Linked DNA regions of Drosophila melanogaster. The protein of the gene in region 2 purifies or fractionates together with the protein of the main gene of each other region. This does not show direct contact. Each region holds a gene or a part of one and is shown on either strand. Other genes may lie near its edges.

Evidence for each region. Proteins that work in one complex are often made in the same cells at the same time.
Region 1: the proteins of regucalcin (region 2) and flr purify together in Drosophila melanogaster (affinity purification with mass spectrometry, with the first as the bait; one large-scale study listed by BioGRID). This does not show direct contact.
Region 3: the proteins of regucalcin (region 2) and CG8993 purify together in Drosophila melanogaster (affinity purification with mass spectrometry, with the first as the bait; one large-scale study listed by BioGRID). This does not show direct contact.

Annotation. Positions count from the first base shown.
Region 1 is NT_037436.4:13,409,287-13,416,953, reverse strand, and holds flr (flare), read right to left. Parts: upstream 4,112-7,667; 5' UTR 4,013-4,111; coding exon 3,979-4,012; intron 3,949-3,978; exon of another isoform or gene 3,903-3,948; coding exon of another isoform or gene 3,881-3,902; intron 3,638-3,880; coding exon 3,516-3,637; intron 2,897-3,515; coding exon 2,806-2,896; intron 2,618-2,805; coding exon 2,354-2,617; intron 2,289-2,353; coding exon 1,234-2,288; intron 1,178-1,233; coding exon 1,027-1,177; intron 960-1,026; coding exon 850-959; 3' UTR 501-849; downstream 1-500. Other genes in the region: CG10222 (uncharacterized protein), read left to right, coding at 4,502-5,425. UniProt on the Drosophila melanogaster protein: Induces disassembly of actin filaments in conjunction with ADF/cofilin family proteins. Together with GMF, promotes Arp2/3-nucleated actin filament array disassembly. Essential for organismal and cell viability.
Region 2 is NC_004354.4:12,011,968-12,019,104, reverse strand, and holds regucalcin (regucalcin), read right to left. Parts: upstream 3,623-7,137; 5' UTR 3,587-3,622; coding exon 3,539-3,586; exon of another isoform or gene 3,481-3,538; intron 3,103-3,480; coding exon 2,384-3,102; intron 2,327-2,383; coding exon 2,134-2,326; 3' UTR 2,047-2,133; downstream 1-2,046. Other genes in the region: Chrac-16 (chromatin accessibility complex 16kD protein), read left to right, coding at 1,232-1,654; CG1492 (uncharacterized protein), read left to right, coding at 7,021-7,111.
Region 3 is NT_037436.4:2,368,827-2,373,376, reverse strand, and holds CG8993 (uncharacterized protein), read right to left. Parts: upstream 1,179-4,550; 5' UTR 1,096-1,178; coding exon 914-1,095; intron 852-913; coding exon 605-851; 3' UTR 501-604; downstream 1-500. Other genes in the region: mRpL23 (mitochondrial ribosomal protein L23), read left to right, coding at 1-248, 310-468; CG1317 (uncharacterized protein), read left to right, coding at 1,715-3,271, 3,329-4,550.

The sequences.
Region 1 (7,667 bases), on a different chromosome or scaffold from region 2:
CCAATTTTCATCACCCACTCATGAGGTGCCCAACATATGAATATGTCAACTTTTAGTCCCACCGAAACCAACGTCTTAGACCCGGCTGTGATAATTAGCGCAATTCGTTTTTCGTCTTCTGCACTCGAGCGCCTTTCTAGCTATCTTAATTTATGTACTTACGTTTAGCACAATTTACGTTTATTTTTTCTGAAACTTTAGCAACCTCCGAGGCTCTCAAACTGCAAGTTACAAACACAATCCTTTCGCTTTCACGCTCTCTCACAAGCACACGTCCACACATTCTAGTAATCTAAGCCAAGTTTTTATAAATATTGTAATTATACACCTGAACACGCACACACACTTGCACACAAAAAGACAGGGTGAAGACCTACCAAACCAAAAAAAAAAAAAAACACAATTTTCAAAGGAATAAATGTTTAAGAAGCCAAAGAAATTGTGCGTGTTTAGCTAATTTTCCCGATCGCAACCAAATGGAGAAAAGTAATCGGCGAGCTATGCAAAAACTAGTATATTTCATTTCATAATACAATAATTTATGTACGCTGGCGTACTTTACATATCTTTGTGTTTCCTTTCGTAGTTCGTAGTTCCAGTAGTATAAAAATTGTTCGAAAAACACATACGAAAATGATAGTGGGGCAAAGTAGTTGAATATCCATGATATGATGATTAGCAAACACTTTTGGCTTAAAATTAAAGACATGACATGAGGTGTGCGGGGAGGGCGGGGAAAAAGACATAAATATCTAAATGTAAACTGTTGCACTTAAATGAAATGAAGCCAGGGCGCTGCTGGCTGCTCTCCCTGGATAAGTATAAAAATATGCTTCACGGCCGGCGCATTTAAATGTTTTCCACGTGCCACACCTTGGTGTTGCAGTCCTGTCCGGTGGAGATCACAGTGTTATTGTCCAGCCAGACCAACCGAGTGATTTGCGACTGCGGATGGGCATCTGGAGTGGGCAGAAAACAATATGTCAGATATCGCTTAAAGCTTACTACTCTTTTTGAAATACTTACTCTTGATGATAGTATGTTTGGCCGGATTGGCCACGGACCAGATAATGATAGTAGTGTCCAATGATCCACTAGCAACCAGCAGCGAGTTGGGCGACCAGGCCACCGTATTTACGCGAGCACTGTGGAAGCCCCACTCCTTGTTGTGTGCAGGCTTTTAAAATACACTCGATTAGTAATGGAATTAAGACATTTATGATTCCTTAATACCTTGTACTCCTCCACTGAGTAGAGCACCACCTTGCGATGGGCATCGCAAGCCACCAAATACTTCAAGTCCGGCGAATAAGAAACATCCGTGACAGCTCCCAAGTGATCCAGCTCCACTTTGGGCTCCAATACTCCGCCCTTCAGGGTGTAGATGTGCAACTTTTGGTCATCCCCGCCGACAGCAACATCGGAAGTGTCCGCATTAACGGCAATCGAGCTAGCCTCGTACTTAATGGGCAGCGAAAAGATCTTCTTCTGGTCCTGCACGAGAGTCAACTCTTTGATGCAAGCAAGTGCAATGATGTTCTCGTTGCGCAAAATGGCCAAGCCACGTGGCTGGCAGTTAAGCTTCACCACATAGTCCGTGTAGGAGTTGCCCTCCACGCTGAACTGGCGTAGGCTGTCGTCGATGCCACAGGTATAGACAAAGTCACCCCAGGCGGCAATGCCGTTGATCTGGTTTCCGTGTCCAGTGCCCGTGATGCGATCGTTGGTGCCGCTGCCCGAGTTCCAGTTGGTCACCACGCCATCGTGGCTACCCGTGTATATGGTGCTGCGGTCATCGCTCAGTCCCAGCACGGTGATGGGCTTATTGTGGCCCTTCACCACACGCAGCGGTTTCGAGGGATCCGCCACATTGAGGTAGGTGATCACGCCCGAAAGCGAGACGGTGATTAGGTTGTCTCCTTGCCACAAGCAGGACACCTGCTGGTCGTCCACAGTGGTGCCCATCACAAACTCGCTAACCAGCTCGCGCGACTCCACTGTCCAAAGGCGGCACGTCTTGTCGCCGGAGCAGGTTAGCAGTTGGGTGCTGTCTGGTTTCCAGGCCAATGCGTAAACGCCGCCCTTGTGGGCAGGAGATCCAAATTCGCCCACCAGTTCAGAGCTGGTGCCATCGTACAGAAAGACTTTGCCATCAAAGCCGGCGGAGGCGAAGAATTTGCCATCGGGCGAGTAGCGCACAGCCTGGACGAAGCGAGAGTGATCCTGCTTGGTCATCTTGAACTTGAACGGGGGTCCCTCGAACACGGCGATAGTATTGTCTTCGCTGCCTGTAATAACAAGTGTGTGTGTGTAAGTAAGTTTATTGCATTTTGGGACTATTATGTGAACTCACCCGTAACAATGCGGAATGGCCTGGCTGGCCGGAAGTCCGCCGAGTTAATAGACTTGGACTGGCCACTGATCTCGCCCACAGACGTGCCGGTTTCAGACATAAAGACATGACCGAAACGTTCGCGTCCTTCACCCACGGCAACGATGCGCTGATTGTCTGGCGACCAGCTAATATCCTTGATGGGTCCTGCAATGGGCTGGAACTCATTTTTAAGCAGGTGCTCCTTGTTGACCGTGTCCCAAATGCGAATCTTGCCGGAGGCGTCTGGTGAGAAGAGGAGAAAGCCAAATAAATAACATTGCTCGCTTCAAAACCGCAGATAAGATAAAGAAACCGCTCCAAATAAGGAAATGCTAATCATGACCGTGGCGTGACTCATAGTGGTCACGATTTTTATGCTCTGTTGCCGAAAGCCGGGTGCTCCAAGTGTGAAATTGCTGGGCGAGACTTACCACCAGATGCAATATAAAATCCGCTGGGCGAGTACTTGGCCACGTTCACTGCACACGAGTGCTCCGTGTAGACATCGGCAATGGCTGGATTCTATGGTGCGGAAGAAAGGGAAAAGCATACATACATATTTTAGAGACACTTTTAGCAAATTAAAACAAATTAATGGTAAATGGGATCCTAATTATGAACATAGGTGTTTGGTTTTGAATTTGTTATGTATGTTTCCTTCATTAACATTTCATTTTCCAGAACCTGAATATCTTTTGGCGGAAGATTTTATTTCTTGATCATTAAAGATACCATAGAAGTGGCGGGATTATCGGGACAAAAGACAAAGAAACATGGAAATATTTTGAATTTATACCGATTCAATGGGTGAAAGATAGGCAAACACATAGCTGCTGTGAAGAATCACTTTGACCAGATGAAAACATCATAATGATGATGCGTGGGCGGCAAACAAGAAATGTATCTATGTGCCAGTCTGTGTTTTGCCGGTTGGCCTGTGGAATGGGAATCTGTGTTTTGCGCCTTATATACTGTACATATATATATAAATAAATATAGAACAGCTGCCCGAAAGCCAGAAAGCACACACAAACTGGCAACAGAAACTGCAGCCTGTCCAAAAATAAAACACCATTTGGACGTAAATGCCATGGATTTATGGCAGGAACGGAGCAGCAGGCTGCAGCATATATCAGCTTACCTCGATGTTCCGGATGATCACAGAGTTTCCATTGGTGTACAGGAAGTTCTTGCCCTTGGGATCGGCACCCAAAACGATGGGTTGGCCGCGTTGGGTGCGCGGCAGAGTTGCGTAGATGTTTTCTGCAATTAAGCGATTATTTCGATTAGAAATGGGCTGTGACTGCTGCTACTCAGATAACGCCGGCAAATTGGAGTGGGTGGAAAATAGGGTGCGGCTTCGTTTTTGGGGAGCGAACGGGAACGGGGTCGCTCCAACGGCTCCACACGCGCCTCCTCTTACTGCTTAAAAAGGTCTTTCATATGCATCTATGCCCATTTATGGGCATAATCACGGTGCTTCCGGCGATTGCTTTCTGCTTTTACCGTTTTTCGCCTGTTGACTCATCCCCCTCTCTACGTATCACATTCGGAGTGGGATCGGATTCATGACTCCAGTTTATCTCTGTGGGATTCCAACTCACTGTTTTCGTACGCCGGTGGTTGGGGTTGTGCCATTCTGGTGATTTCTCGGTGCTCCTGAAGCCTTTACTAATTAGTGCGAAATTCCGCGGATAAATGAAAACACCAAACTCAAGTTCGCCGACGATTAGTGGTGGGCTAAGATCGATGTTTTCACCATCGTCGTCATCGATGGTTTTTTCTTTGCTTTATATCGACTTTGCGCTGCGTTTACCCCTTTTTAACAGCGAAGTGAACTGGAAGGAAATTAAAAATATATTGTTCTGTGTTTTATACTAACAGTAACTACTAATTGCTACCGTTTTTAATTATACACTAAAAAATTGTTTTTTTTTTTGGGATTGAGTTTTCAATTTCCTATATTTGAAAAGGAAATATATAATCAAAATTGTATTTTTATCTAATTTAATAAAATGTATATTTTTCAAAAACTATCTAAATATCGATAAATTGCGCCAAATAAATTAATCGGTCTCTGTGGTTCCCCACCTCTACCATTGTTTATATTTTTCATTTTCCGCAAGAATGATGCAAAGATTTCCGACGCAGGCGACCGTGGAGAATCCACGTTATGGACAGCTAATCATAGGACCTCCTGGTTCTGGGAAAACCACCTATTGCGGTGAGGCCCTTAAGTTCTATCGCGAACTGGGCCGTCAGGTGGGCGTTGTGAATCTGGATCCAGCCAACGAAAACATGTCCTACGAACCGGTGCTAAGTGTGATGGAGCTAATCACTGTGGAGGATTGCATGGAGCACCTGAAGCTGGGACCAAACGGAGCTCTAATGCACTGCGCTGAGTATCTGGCCGACCATTTGGAGGATTGGCTGTTGCCGGCACTGCGCAAACTAAGCGCCACTTACAACTACTTCCTGTTCGACTGTCCCGGCCAAGTTGAGCTATATACCCATCACAACGCTATGGCCCGGATTTTCGAGCGTTTGGAGCGTGAAAGATATAGCCTGGTCACCGTTAACCTTATAGATTCCCATTACTGCTCGGAGCCTGCCAAATTCATTGCCACTTTGCTGATGGCATTGAACACCATGTTGCGGATGAGTCTACCCCACGTTAATGTGCTTTCCAAGGCCGATCTGCTAAAGAAGCACGAGACCAAGTTACACTTTAACGTGGACTATTATACGGACGTCCTGGACCTCAAGTATCTGCTGGACAAACTGGACGATGATCCCGCCATGCGCAAGTATCGAAAACTGAATGCAGCCATCTGCTCCATGGTGGAGGACTACGCTCTCGTTTCGTTCCAACTGCTGGACGTCTTCAGCACGGACAGCATGCTCCGCTTGCGCAATCACATCGACAAGGCTAATGGATACGTCTACAAGGCAGGTGAGGAGCAGACGGTCAACTCACTACTAGCCTGCGCCGTGGGTGCAGAAACTGAGGCCGCTCGCATGGAGCATGATGTCCAACCCTATATGGAATAAAAGAACTGAAACTAATCGAAAATAGCCTGTGATATTGTGCATTGTATTTCGAAAATAAGTTATACAAGTCGAGAGTGAGGGATTAAGGTACGGAATGAAAAGCAGTGATTTTTTGGATTTATTAAAATATTATCTCGGCTTGAACTCTTAAACTTTTTTAGTTGTTTTTCTAACCACATATTTTTAAGAGGAAATAAACCTTTAAAGTTGTTTAAATACATTGCAATAAGAATGGTTGATAATCACTTGAGGATCACCTAATCGGAAAACACCAAGAGAACTCTACATTTGAACTTGGAAAATCCAGACCACCACTAGATGTCGCTGCAAACGTTAAAACGTATGATGTATGTAAAATTTTACAGATGTACAGAATTGTACGGGTTTGAATTCAGAATTATTAAATTAAATTTAATAAAAAAAAATACAACAAAAATCATTTCGTTTTGTTTTGTTTTTGGGCTTTGTTGACTTTTTCAGAAAATATGTCAAATGGAGAAAATTGTATTTATATAAATTATGATTTTAAGAATATCCTTTGCTAGGCGAATAAAAATTGACAATTGAACTGATCTAAAATATCAATAAAGAAACTTATACTAAATAATAACTTATTACATAAGAACAGGTATGAATTTCGAAGTCTGGTAGATCTCATCAAAAAGACCCACGTTTCTCGGTAAATTAGTTAGGCTTCAATCAAACAAAAGCGTCCTTTTTAGCATACAAAAACCAAAAGTTCAACTTGAGTCGAAAAGGATCTGCATCTGAACCCTATACTTTGATTTAACTAAAAGCAAAGTCCTCGTTAACATAAATAAAAATTAATTAAGTCCGAGGCGCGTTGTTTTGCGAGATAAGAGCTGGAACGACCGGTGAACATCTCGTGGCAAGCTGCAAATTGTGGCACGTGCACCACAAAACGGGATTGCCATTGACTCCTATACCACGACCAAGTCGTGAGCACTCGGGGGCTCCGTCTTGCAGACACGGGAAGACGCGTTGGGATATAAAAAAGCACCAGGAGTCATCTTATTTTAAGCCGATTCGTGAATCCCCTTTTGCGGGTAGCTTTTATTTAATGAAGCGAAAAAGTTGTTTATTAAAAACCAGCCAAGTTATGCTAATTTACGCTTGTTCTTAAATCTAAAAAGGAGTTATGGATCTTCCTTATACATGTTTAAATGATACGCTTTAGGATTTAAAACTCTTAAGGGCTAAAAAAGAATAAAGAGTTTTAAGAATTTATTGGATTTCTCACCAAAGAATGAGCGTTTACAACAAATCATGAAAGATAAATTTGCTGTATAGCATTGATTATAAAGATATTTAAAAGCCCTCTGCTTAAGCTGGTGGCTCCTCTTTGTAGGGCATAAGAAAACAGCGGCAAAAACGAAAACAGTTATTAAATGCAGCAGGCTCTTGTCAGATTGCAGCAGGCTGGCTGCCAATTCCCCAGTCCCCATTCCCATTCCCAATCCCCCAAAGCACCGATCCCCTTGACCGCAAGCCAAATTAAAATAAACGAAAGTGGTTTCGTGCCAGGACGAAGTGAGTGGGGCTCGGATTCGTTTTGCCTTTGCGATTTGTGTAAAGCAGCGGGCTGCGGTTTCTTGTTTTTTTGGCACACGCTCTGCAGGATAATTCGTCGCGTCCTCAAAAGCCATAAGTGCGATCCCCTGCGATGTAAGCGCGTCAGGCTAAACAGTTAAGCGACCTGGCTTGTAAGAGCGCTATTTGGTTTTGCTTTCCAGGCCAGTCCTGGCAACGATTGCGGTCAAAAGACGCGCGTCCTGTTCCCGAAAAGCAGGTGCACACCAGCAGCGGCAGTCGGGGAAAAATGTGCCAGCTAAGCAACCGGAAAAAAATAAAGGAGTTTCGGCTCTAAGGGCATAGGACTAGGAGATGACCTAGAAAACACGAAGTACGGAACTATTAACAAGAATCCCTTAATTTAAGGAGTTTAAGTTAATCACTTCAATTTATCCCATTTAACGTTTAATAAAGATAAATAAAAGAATGTTTCAAAAAAAAAAAACATCGTCCGAAAACGTGAGGTATAGCGATTTTCATATCAATTGGCCACGTTCTTGGCCAGTTCTTATCACTCCCCTCATACGCTCGCTACACCCATCATACCCCAACGATACCCTGTGCACCCCCATTCCCTATTATTACACGGTATAAATGCCTAAAAAAACAGCCCAAGTCAAGTGGGCATCTAGATACGAGTAGAATTCCA
Region 2 (7,137 bases):
TCTAAATGTCGATACTGGTTTGTTGGCACGCCGTTGCTTGAACAACGTTTCACAAACAGCGATGGTGATGATGTTGATGATTTTGCGGCAGCAGCAGCTGTTTTGGATGCTTGAATTCCTGGAATTCTCGAAAGGATTTAACTAGCTCTCTCGCTCGCTCTCACTCTCGCCGTCTGTCTGTCTCGTTCTCTCGTGCCGTGCAGCTCACTCGCTTTCACTTGAACCGCTCTAATGGAAATGTCGCTTCCTGGCGATCTGGTCGAGATCCTGCTCCTGCTTCCACTGCCCCTGATCGTCGCGTGAATTGGCCAAAAACTCGCTGGTTACTCGCTCGACTAGCTATCGGCTATCTATTTTGGCGGCAATTGCGGTTCGGTAATTGAAAAGTTGGAAAAGTACGCGAAAAATTTATTGGTCAACACACGAAACAACAGCCAAAAGGGGGCAGCAGAAAACGCAGTGTTGCACATGCCGCGCAGCGATAGGTTCGATAGTCATCGATTACGGAAGTCTGGCAACGTTGCTGCAAACAAATCAAGTGCAATAATAATTTATTGATATTTATTTATATGTGAGTTCGAAAATGAAGACAGATTTTTAAGCTATAAGTGTGAAAATCCAAAGTTGATTGCATACTGAAAAGACAAAAGTAGATAATATTGACTTGTCTAAATGTTGTTGCAATTGAATGTTTCCTTATAAATCGTGCAGATCCTAATCGTTTTACCCCTAATCTCTTGATTAAGTTAAAGGTATTTGCTTAGAGCGGTTTTTCCACTAATAAATTGAAATATTTGGAAAACTTTTATTAAATACTTGTTGTGGCTACCGATAGCATATCGGCGCAACGTTATTTGGTTAAATTCCCGCTCCAGCTAGAGCTGAAAGTATAGGCAAATCCGAATGGGTTTCTCAATTTTTATATATTTAGCGCTATAACTTAATTCTGAGAAAGTAACACATATATTATTGTGCACATCCAATTCCTTGCAAAAATAGAAGTATGCCAGCATTGTTCGTTTTAAGGGAAGCCCTGCGGTTACTTATTTTAAGTCTTCATAAACCATAACCATCGATAGCAAATAAAAAAAAAGAATCGATAGTGTCTCAGAAAGGTACGAATTTCATGCCTCGATTGTAACATCGATAGTTTCACAGCTCCACTTGTGAGCCCAGCTCTAAAACCAAAAAAATTCCCAAGCCATAGTTTGCTTGGGAATTAAGTAAACAAATGGGCGAACCAAGGAGCCAACCACCCGTGGAGCGTCCACCGACCGCGGAAACCTTTCTGCCCCTCAGCCGCGTGCGAACGATCATGAAGAGCTCCATGGACACGGGCTTGATCACCAACGAGGTGCTCTTCCTGATGACCAAGTGCACGGAGCTATTCGTTCGCCATTTGGCGGGCGCGGCATACACGGAGGAATTCGGCCAGCGACCGGGCGAAGCGCTCAAGTACGAGCATCTCTCCCAGGTGGTCAATAAGAACAAGAATCTGGAGTTTCTGCTGCAGATCGTGCCGCAAAAGATCCGTGTACACCAGTTCCAGGAGATGCTGCGGCTAAATCGCTCCGCCGGCAGCGACGACGACGATGACGACGACGATGATGACGATGAAGAAGAGTCCGAATCGGAATCGGAGTCTGATGAATAGACGGTCATGCAGATGTTTATCTACACCGAAATTGAGTGGATGATCTCCATTCACCAAAACATCGACTGATTTTTTACGCCACCTTGCTATCTTTAATTTTAGACTAGACGATAAGTATAAAATTGTTTATAGAACCACTGATTAATAAAGAAGCATAAGAGCACTGCGTCCTCCAAATGACCATAAGATCCGCGGATGATTACCGTGTGTCTGCGGCTGATAAGATTGTTGTTTGAAATCAGAGTAAAGTAGAGCATAGTCAACCTCTTTGTGAGTTTACATGATGATCCTGGATATTCCCAGGAGAGAATGTGATCCTTAAGCTGACCTTGAACTAGAACTGCAAAAAAGGATAACCTAACTAGCATGCAAAACATTGATAGACGCGATTTAAAACGTTAAAGAGCATAACATATAATTGCACTTGGATTCGATTGGTACATTTTACTGCGGCTAAGGATAGATAGAGATTGCAGCTCCTAGACCTTCAGGTTGACGCCGGGATAGCCGGTGGCGTTCAGTCCGGTCACCTTGTAGGTGGTGCCAGCTGGAGCGGGCTGATCGAACTTGGCGGCAGTGGTCACGTACAGGATGTCCAAGTTGGGGCCACCGAAGGCGGCGGAGGTAATCTGTTTGGTTGGGAACTTGATCTCAAGCAGAATCTTGCCAGTGCTGCAATGAAGTACGACATTTAACACTCGATCACGAATGTTAGAGTGAACTACTCACTTGGGATTAACCTTGTAGATGGTGGCGCCATTGAAGGTGGCCACATACAGGTTGCCCTCGGTATCGATGGTCAGGCCATCGGGCAGCAGATGATCCTTGGGACTATTCTTGCGCAGATTGAATATAACCTTGGGATTGCTAGCCACGCCGGTCTCGAAATCATAGTCATACGACTTCACCTCGTAGTCGGTGGTATCGATGTAGTAGAACTTCTTGGCCTTCTCGTCCCATGCCAGTCCATTGGAGATGCCCACATCGCCCTTGATCACCGACACCTGGCCACCGGCCTCCCAGCGGTACAGCTCGCCGTGACGGAACTCGAACTCATCGCCAATGTAGCGCATGGTGCCGCCAAAGAAGCGACCACGGGGATCAACCTTGGCGTCGTTCAAACGATTCTTCTCCATCAGTGGCTGCACCTCGAACAGTGTGCGCACCACCTTGGCGCTGGGCGAGACGCCATCCCAGTTGACGATCACCACGCGTCGACCGCAGCCGACGGCGAATTCCTGCGGACGTCCCTCCACCGGCAGCACGAATCCGGCCAAGGTTTCGCCCTCGATCTTTGTCTTGTAGACCTTGTTCTGCGCATAGTCGTAGCGGAGCAGGCTGCCTGCCTCCAAATCCACGTAGTACAGGCTCTGCCTGGCCACATCCCAATGGGGACCCTCGCCCAGGCCGGCGTAGGAATCGGGCAATGGTTCCACCTTGTACGACATCTGTTGGCGAAATTGGGAACAACCGATTTGCGATTAGTGCATCTAATTGATTTTATATGGATTTATAGTGGATATAAAGTGGCATTTGGAATGCATTATAGCACTTCATGGTTATCATTATCATGGTTGCCATTTTAATTAGATTTTAAATTGAATTAAACAATTAAGAAGTACAGAGAATTCGAATTTAGATGTAGGATTAAATCAGAAAATTACGCACAAAAGCGAAAAACTAATAATTCAAACTGTCAACATTGCGATAAAATAGAATTATCAGGATAATTTATATGCGAGCAATGAGCAATTAAATTAATCATTTAATTTAATTTAAATATTCATTTAAATATGCGATTTTTTGTAGAGTTTCAAACACTTGACTTTCGTAACACTTTTTTTCTTCAATTTCTTTAGTTGGTCCTACTTATAGACGCAGTACCGTTAGGCCGAAAAGGCACACTGCAATCACGGGAATCAGTAACATCATCTTGCGCTCGTTGGCTCCGAATCCAAACTGAGCCCAAAGCCATCGCTCGGAGTTGCTTTTATTACCTCCAGACCAGGGGCTTGACATTACTGGCTGAGAATCGGCGGCATCGTCATCATCGCAAGCGGAACACAATGCGAGATTATTTATTTACTTCCATTTCCATGTTTTAAGTTCAATTTTTCCAAAGGCCGACGGTGGAGCACAATGGAGTTTTTTTTTTTCGATTGTAACATATGCCACTTTCCGGTTTTATATTTTTAATCAATTTAGTAAAAAGTATTTCCAATTTAAATACATACAATTAACATGTTTTTTTCTGTATGCAAAGCTACAATTTTTCGTTAGCTTTATCGAGCAATGGTTCCACTGTGCGTTGCAGCTGTGCTCTTGTGACGTCATGCCCTTCACTTACACTCACATACTCAACAAAAGCAAAAGCAACAACAACAACAACAACAGATGCTGCGATTAACTTTTAAGTTTGATTGCGCCTGGCATTTAGCGATTTTTAATTGACTTTTGTTGTCATTCGGCTGCTGTTATTGAATTGGTCAAGTGGAGACCTTAAAGAGATGCTCACTGGCAGGCACTTCTGTTATCGGACACATGTAGAGGGCACAGTGGGGCAAGAGCGTTCGAAAATGCCAAATTCACAAGTAGCTGCTCAGATGTGTGGAGCATGTGAAAATAATTGAGTACTTAATCCGTGCTGAAGTCTCTCATTTCGAAATTTTTTTAATACAAAAAAAAAAAAAAAATTTAAAAAAAAAGGGAAAAAGTTTTTGAATAGCACATTTAATAGAAGGAAAATATTCGAGCTATATTTTTTACCAAATTTAAATTTAATTTGTGCAAGCTCATAAATTTCTATTTAATTTTAATAATGCTTCCGTTTTTTCGAAAAAGTCTTCAGTATAAACTATGCCTTCTTTTTCGCATCACTTTAACACACTTGAAAAAAAAAAACGGGGAACGCTTGCAGGAGAGCACCTACCTTGGAGATAGCTTAAGCTTGAGCTGAGAGATGGGGAATCGAGAATAGAGAATCGAGAATCCTTGGACACGGCTCCGTTGAGTAGCGCGTTCAAACTGAATGCCACCCGATCCGGCCCAATTCTTATATACCCCAGCTGGCACGGGCGTGACACACAATCTCGCCAAAACCTCCTCCACCTCCACCTCCTCTACTCCGCCTCCACCTTCACCTCCTCCTCCTTCGCCCACTGATAAGCGGAGAATTGGAGGGCTGGATAGCCCGGCCTGATAACAGAGCAACAGAAGTCGCCAACGGGCAAATTAACCCGATGGCAAATTGCAAAAAAAAAAATATTCCAAAACAGATTGCGAAAGTGCAGCATTACAGTTTTGAAAAGCGTAATGAGAAGTTTTCGAGTTTAAGCAGCTCAAAGTTTGAACACTTTTTGAACAGAAAACAGAAACTGAAGCCTAAATGTTAGGAAATGATTTTCAGAATAATTAGGCTCCCTAAATTTATAAAAGTATCTTAGTAATAATGAAAAATGAAATTTTCAAACCAAATTTAACCTGTGTGTTTTTAAGTGCAACATTAAGATTAAACTAACTAATCAACTTCAATTTTCAGCTGGCTAAACTTAACTTTTCACCTGACTTTAACTAATCATAAAACTGAAACTTAAGCTGAGCAGATTTAGTAAAAGTTATGGGGTTAATTTCTACAATAATAAATGCACAGGAGTGGGCGAGTGGCGATAAATTTAAATTTAAATTTTAAACTTGAAACTTTCTCAATGTTTCTCATTTCTTGAGCGCATTTCTATGCTTCCGCTGGACGAGAGATAAGTTGCAGCTCGGCGGCGATAAATCGCATCTGAGCCACTGTGCCAAAGTGCCAAAGGATGGATCTCCAAGTACATGGTGCATGCGGTGGCATGGCGCGGCATCTAGTGGTCCATGGTATCAGCTGCCCAAGTGACCTCCACAGTGCCAAGTTATTTATGGCGCATCTCCCGCTGCCCTTTGCACCCAGACCATGGTATGGGTATGGTATGGTTTGGAATTGGGCATGGGCATGGGCATGGTACTGGGAACCATGACTGGACAGAATCCAAATTCAAGTCCGAATCTGAACGGTCCAAGAGATGGATTGCTTATCGGCAGACGGTTGGCATACAGGTTTGCCCCCTGACTGGTGTTTTTCTATTTTCAGCGGTACTTTATTTACCGAATTGTTATTTAATTAATTGCTGTAAGATTTATGGGCATTATTGATAAGGAAAGCGCGACCTTTTACCAACCAAATTCGCTAGGGTCGTGAGCAATAAATCTAAATAAATCGTAATCCAAATGCTAAGCACTTGAATGTTCATTTTGTTTGTAATTTTAAAACAGCTGTTGGAAGCTAATTATTACTTTTCGTTGTGTTGGACTGTTGCTAGAGGTATGATTTTAAATGGGAATATAGATTATTTAGCTTCTATTGATAATATGTATCTAAAGAAGTTATTTTAAATGGTTCTGTTCTTTATATTACAATCCCAAGCCAAAAAACGCCTTCAAACCGCACGAAAAACGCGCCGAACGCGTAAAGTCGCGTCCAAAACGCGTCTGAATAAAATATATTTTACCGTTTCGCTTTGGTTCATTTTTGCGCGATTTTTGTGCGATTTTGGGGCGTTTTGCTTTTGGATAAGTCTGAACTTAACTTTAAAGCATAAAAAATACGATATATGTTATAAATGTTATATATGTTATGTTATATGTTTGCTTATATTTATATACGTAAATAGATTTTTGGATTGAAAACATATTGTTGCCGAACTACCGTTACATTCAAAAAGATTGGCAACGCAATGTAAGAAGTAAACAGCGCTTGGTGAAACGGTTTTTTGTTGTTGTTTTCATCGATAATGTTATTGCCCCCTGTTCTATGTCAAGGTTATAATAATTGTGCAAATTAGACAGATTTGCAGCGTCTGTGCATCACCTTGCAACCTGTGGTTACTTACTGAAGATAAGCAATTAGCAAATCACAATTAACTACGGTTAAATTAAGCAAGATAATTACTAAACAAAACGGTAAAAGAAAAGATAAAAGATAGAACAACAAAAACGCTCTATGGGGTCAGCTGGTGCCTTAAAGGGCTGCCACCTTCTACACTCATTGGAGTTGCCAGCTGTCTGGCAACGCGCATACGCTGACACTCGATAACAAGGGGCACACATTTTAAATTAAAACGCGCGAAATTCGGCTTGGTATATTGAACGTAAGGCGGTCGAGTTTTTTCAAAATTTTAGTATATTCGATTATTTTGGCCTATCGACGGCAGTATGACCACTAGAAAACAGCAGAGAACAGCTGTTTTTTGAAATGAAAAGGATATGGATATTTCCATTTGAACTGCAATGGTGCGGCAATGGGGTTGAGAACAATGTAAATCTAGGTGCTAGCGATGTACATTAGGATAGGATTGAATAGTTTGATATCCGTGGTGATTGTCATCCTGGTGGCAGTCTATATCTACCGGTATCCGGACGGAAATGGTGGGTACAACGACCAGGAAGCAGCT
Region 3 (4,550 bases), on a different chromosome or scaffold from region 2:
TTCGCGTTTTCCTTCCCAACTTCTGGATGAAGCTAATCCGACCCACGGAGGAACAGCCACCCAATGTGGTCACTTTTTCGGTGTCCATGGAAATGACCAAGTACGATGTGCGTAACTATCTGGAGAAGATCTACAAGCTGCCGGTGGTGGATGTGCGTACTCGGATTGCCATGGGCGAGACCAAGAAGGATCAGACCTACGGCTACATCACCAAAAAAGACGACGTGAAGCTGGCTTATGTAACATTGGTATGGCCCACTACAAGCCCCTGATTCAATGGATATTTCCAATGATATTTGTGTATTCCAGCCCAGGGAGGAGTCCTTTGTCTTCCCCGACTTCTTTTCCGAAAAGGCTGAGAAGCAGGCCAAGGAGGAAAAGTCGCTGGATGAATCGAAAGCCGGTTTCCGCAGATTTCTGGACAGGAACAAGAAGCGACCCGGCACGCCGGGCTGGTTTTCCATTTAGTTTTTAGTGTGTAATCGTAGTACTTTTCGTTTCAACGGGTAAATAAACATTTATTTCGAAAGTCCGAATTAACCTAAAGCTCAGCTTTATTTGCGAGGAGGTCAACCTCCACTTTTTTTTTGGGATTTCTCAATTATTACTTGGCCTGTTTGACGGCGGCGGCAACCCAGGCCCGGATTTTGTCCTCGTCCTGGAGTCCCACCATGCGCTGCACCTCCTTGCCGTTCTGCAGCACCACTAGCACGGGCACGGCGGCCACATCGTAGTCCAGAGCCAGTTCGCTGTGCTCATCTATGTCCACCTTGGCCAGCTTGATGGAACCGGCCTGTTCGCCCACAATACTCTCGATGCGCGGGGTTAGCAGCTTGCAGGGATTGCACCAGCTGGTGGATTACAATATAAACATTAATTTGCCATGTCCTCAAATTGAAAATATAAAAATTACGTTGCGAAGAAGTCCACAATCACGGGCTGCTGGCTGTTCTTTACTTTCTTGTCAAAGTCCTCGGCGCTCTGGACTTTGAAGATCTCCTGTCGCGGCGCAGAAACTGACAGCATGCGAATTTGCTGGCCGCTAGCCAGGCGACGCGTCGTCTGTCCCAGAATGTTAATAATCTGTCGCTGCATGGCTTATTTTCTACAATTTCTCAGTGCAAAAAGTTCAGCGATTGATTGCAAAATAATGACAAGAGAATCAGAACAACAACAATGAGTGTGGTGGGGTTGCCAGATGGATTGGTATTGCCTAATGATGTGTGCACACACTGTTTCATTAACTGTTACTTCCCGGTCATGATAATTTTGTTTTATATTATTTAAGTTAAAAACTTATATTTATTAACCATAACTATGTAATCTTTTTTAATTTTCAATTTATGATTAAAAAATGAATAACGATATTTCGTTCTCTCAATCTATCGAACTAGTTGGCATCTCCGTTGAGAAAATAATCAGCAATTTCATGGTGTGCACACATTGGCTCTCCTTTTTTTGAGAAGTAGTCTTGTTTTGTTTTGTCGTAATAATATCCCAACTTTTCGGTTAAAATTCAAGTGTTACAATCGCATTACGGTCCGTAATCATCGAAAGGTTAATTGGCGCACATAAAAGGCGGGTATAATCGTCTTAAAACCCCCGTACCCTCGGGTCAATTACGGAAATTGTCCAGCGAATTTCGCAAATGACCAGTGGAACTTTAGTAATTCAGTCAAACTGAAGACCCAGGATCCGGGAAAAAGTTATCAGTATGGACGACCTGTCGCAGGGCGACATTTGCCGCGTGTGCAGATGCGAGGCACAGCCGGATAGGCCTCTTTTCTACCCGTGCATCTGCACTGGATCGATCAAGTACATTCATCAGGACTGCCTGATGTTATGGATGCGCTACTCGCACAAGGAATACTGCGAGCTGTGCAGCTACAGCTTCAGCTTTCAGCCCATCTATGCTCCGGATATGCCGCGAGTCCTGCCGATAAAGGATGTCCTTGTGGGACTGATGTCCGCCGTTTTGGAGGGCGCTCGCTGCTGGCTTCATTACACCCTGGTCGGTTTGGCCTGGTTCGGAGTGGTGCCGCTGTCTGCCTACAGGACCTATCGGTACCTCTTCCGGGCGAGCTCCTTCGATATGATTCTCACGCTGCCCTTTGACATCTTCTCCGTTGAAAACCTGGCATCGGATGCCTTTCGGGGCTGTTTTGTGGTCACATGCACACTTTTGTCCTTCATAGGATTGGTCTGGCTGCGCGAGCAGATCCTGCATGGCGGCGGACCCGATTGGCTGGAGCGGGACGATGCCCCTCTACAGGCAGCGGCTGCTAATCCTGCGCCTGATCCCGCCGCCGAGGCAGCTCCACAGCCTCAGGACGACAACAACAATGCCGACGACAATGAAGCGCCGGCTCCAGCGGACAACGATGGGCAGGATGCCCAGGCCCAGGATGCCGCACCAGCGGCTGCAGCTCCCGTCGTGGACGCCGATGCCGATGAGCAGAATTGGAATCCCATGGAGTGGGATCGGGCTGCCGAGGAGCTTACCTGGGAACGCCTGCTCGGACTCGATGGCTCGCTAGTTTTTCTGGAGCACGTCTTCTGGATCATCTCACTGAACACCATGTTCATCTTCACCTTCGCCTTTTGTCCCTACTGCGTGGGCAACTTCATTCTGAGCTCCATGGATCTTTTGCAGCCCGAGAAACCACTGCTACACTTTCACGGCCTGATTACCACGCTATTTGGTTACTGCTGCATTGGATTGACCCTGGTGGTGCTGCACTTCTTCTCCAGAGTTTTCCGCCTGCGGAGAGTCTGCTGGTTCATTGGATTGTGCTATATTGTGGTCAAGGTGTCGCTGCTGTCGGTGTTGGAGATCGGAGTACTCCCGCTGATTTGCGGCTGGTGGCTGGACATTTGTTCGTTGCCCCTACTAGATGCCAGCCTCAAGGATCGTAAAGAGAGTTTTAAGGCTGCTCCGGGCACCTCACTTTTTGTCCACTGGATGTTTGGCATGGTATACGTTTACTACTTCGCTGCGTTTGTATCGTTGTTGCGCGAGGTGCTGCGACCGGGAGTGCTCTGGATATTCCGCAATGTCAACGATCCTGACTTCAGTCCCATCCAGGAAATGATCCATGTACCAATTGTGAGACACATCCGGCGGCTGGTCGCTTCGGCTATGATCTTTGGATTTGCAGTGCTCTTGATGCTCTGGCTGCCCATTAGAATTCTGCAGGTGGTTTGTCCGGACTTCTTGCCATATGCACTTAGTGGCGATTCAGCGGTTAACTTGCAATTGCTGCTCTTACAAGTAAGTTACCCGCAAACTTATTTGAATAACTTAAACAATCTAAACTCGCCATTCCAGATCGTTTTGCCGGGCTTCTTCGAGCAGACCCAAACACGCATCTGGCTAAAGGGCTTGCTGCGCATTTGGTGCACAGCGGTGGCCTGGTTGCTGGGCATACGAAGCTACCTGCTCCCAGCACCGGAGCCGGAACCGGAAATTCCCGCTGCTGGAGAAGAAGGCGTGGAGAATGCCGCTGGCGAAAATGAAAACCAGGAAGGTGAGGCAGCGGATGCGGCAGCCCAACCACCAGCACCACCTCCTCCACCGCCACCGCCAGTGGAACCGGCGCCGGCACCACGAAACCTTGCCGCCGCCCATCAGGCCATCATGCAACGGGATGCACCCGTGGGATTCCAGCCGTACGACAAGCCATCGCTGTTCGCTTTACGTTTGTGTGCCCTGTTGGCACTCATGTGTTTGTCCATCGTTTGTGCTGCCATGTTGACGCTCACGGTTCCAGTCTACATCGGTCGGCGGCTGATGTTGATCTGGTCCTCCCAGCCGGATGAGAAGGCAGCTGGAGCGGCAGCCGCAGAAGGAGCGGGCGAAGTGGTTGAAAATCTAGATCCAATCGATCCGGAAGGAGCCAGAAAGAACGAGCGACTACTGCGCTCGCATGAGCTGTACACCGCTGAGCTTGGTGGTTACCTGTGCTGGATTGTCTGCCGGGTAGTAGCTGCGGTGGTCACCCTGCTGCCACAAGGCCGCGCGGCTATTGTCGACAAGATAAAGCACTGGGTCCGAGTGGCATTGCAATATGCCCTGCCCGTTCTAACACTCCTGGGAATCTTCGTGCTGGTTCCGTTGCTGATTGGATTGCTGATCGAGTTGGCGGTGGTCATTCCCCTACGCGTTCCACTACGCAAGACACCAATCCACTTCCTATGGGAGGATTGGGCGCTGGGAGTGCTCTACTGCAAGATAGCCATCGCCTTGACGATGATGGGCCCAGATTGGCACTTGAAGCGTGCATTAGATCGAGCCTACATGGATGGATTGCGCGATTTCGACTTGAAGTTTGTGATGCGAGACTTGGCTGTGCCGGTCGTTACTACCATTGGTCTGGCCCTGGCCATACCCTATGTCATGGCACATATGATGTTTCCGATTTTCCTAGCGGACGCCTATGCTCAGCATGTCGTCGCACGGCTCGTGTATCCCGTAAGCTTCATTGTGGTGGGCAGCATATGCATCCTTTTGTTCCAGATCGATCAGCTGAAGAAGCTCTATCTGTCCATCA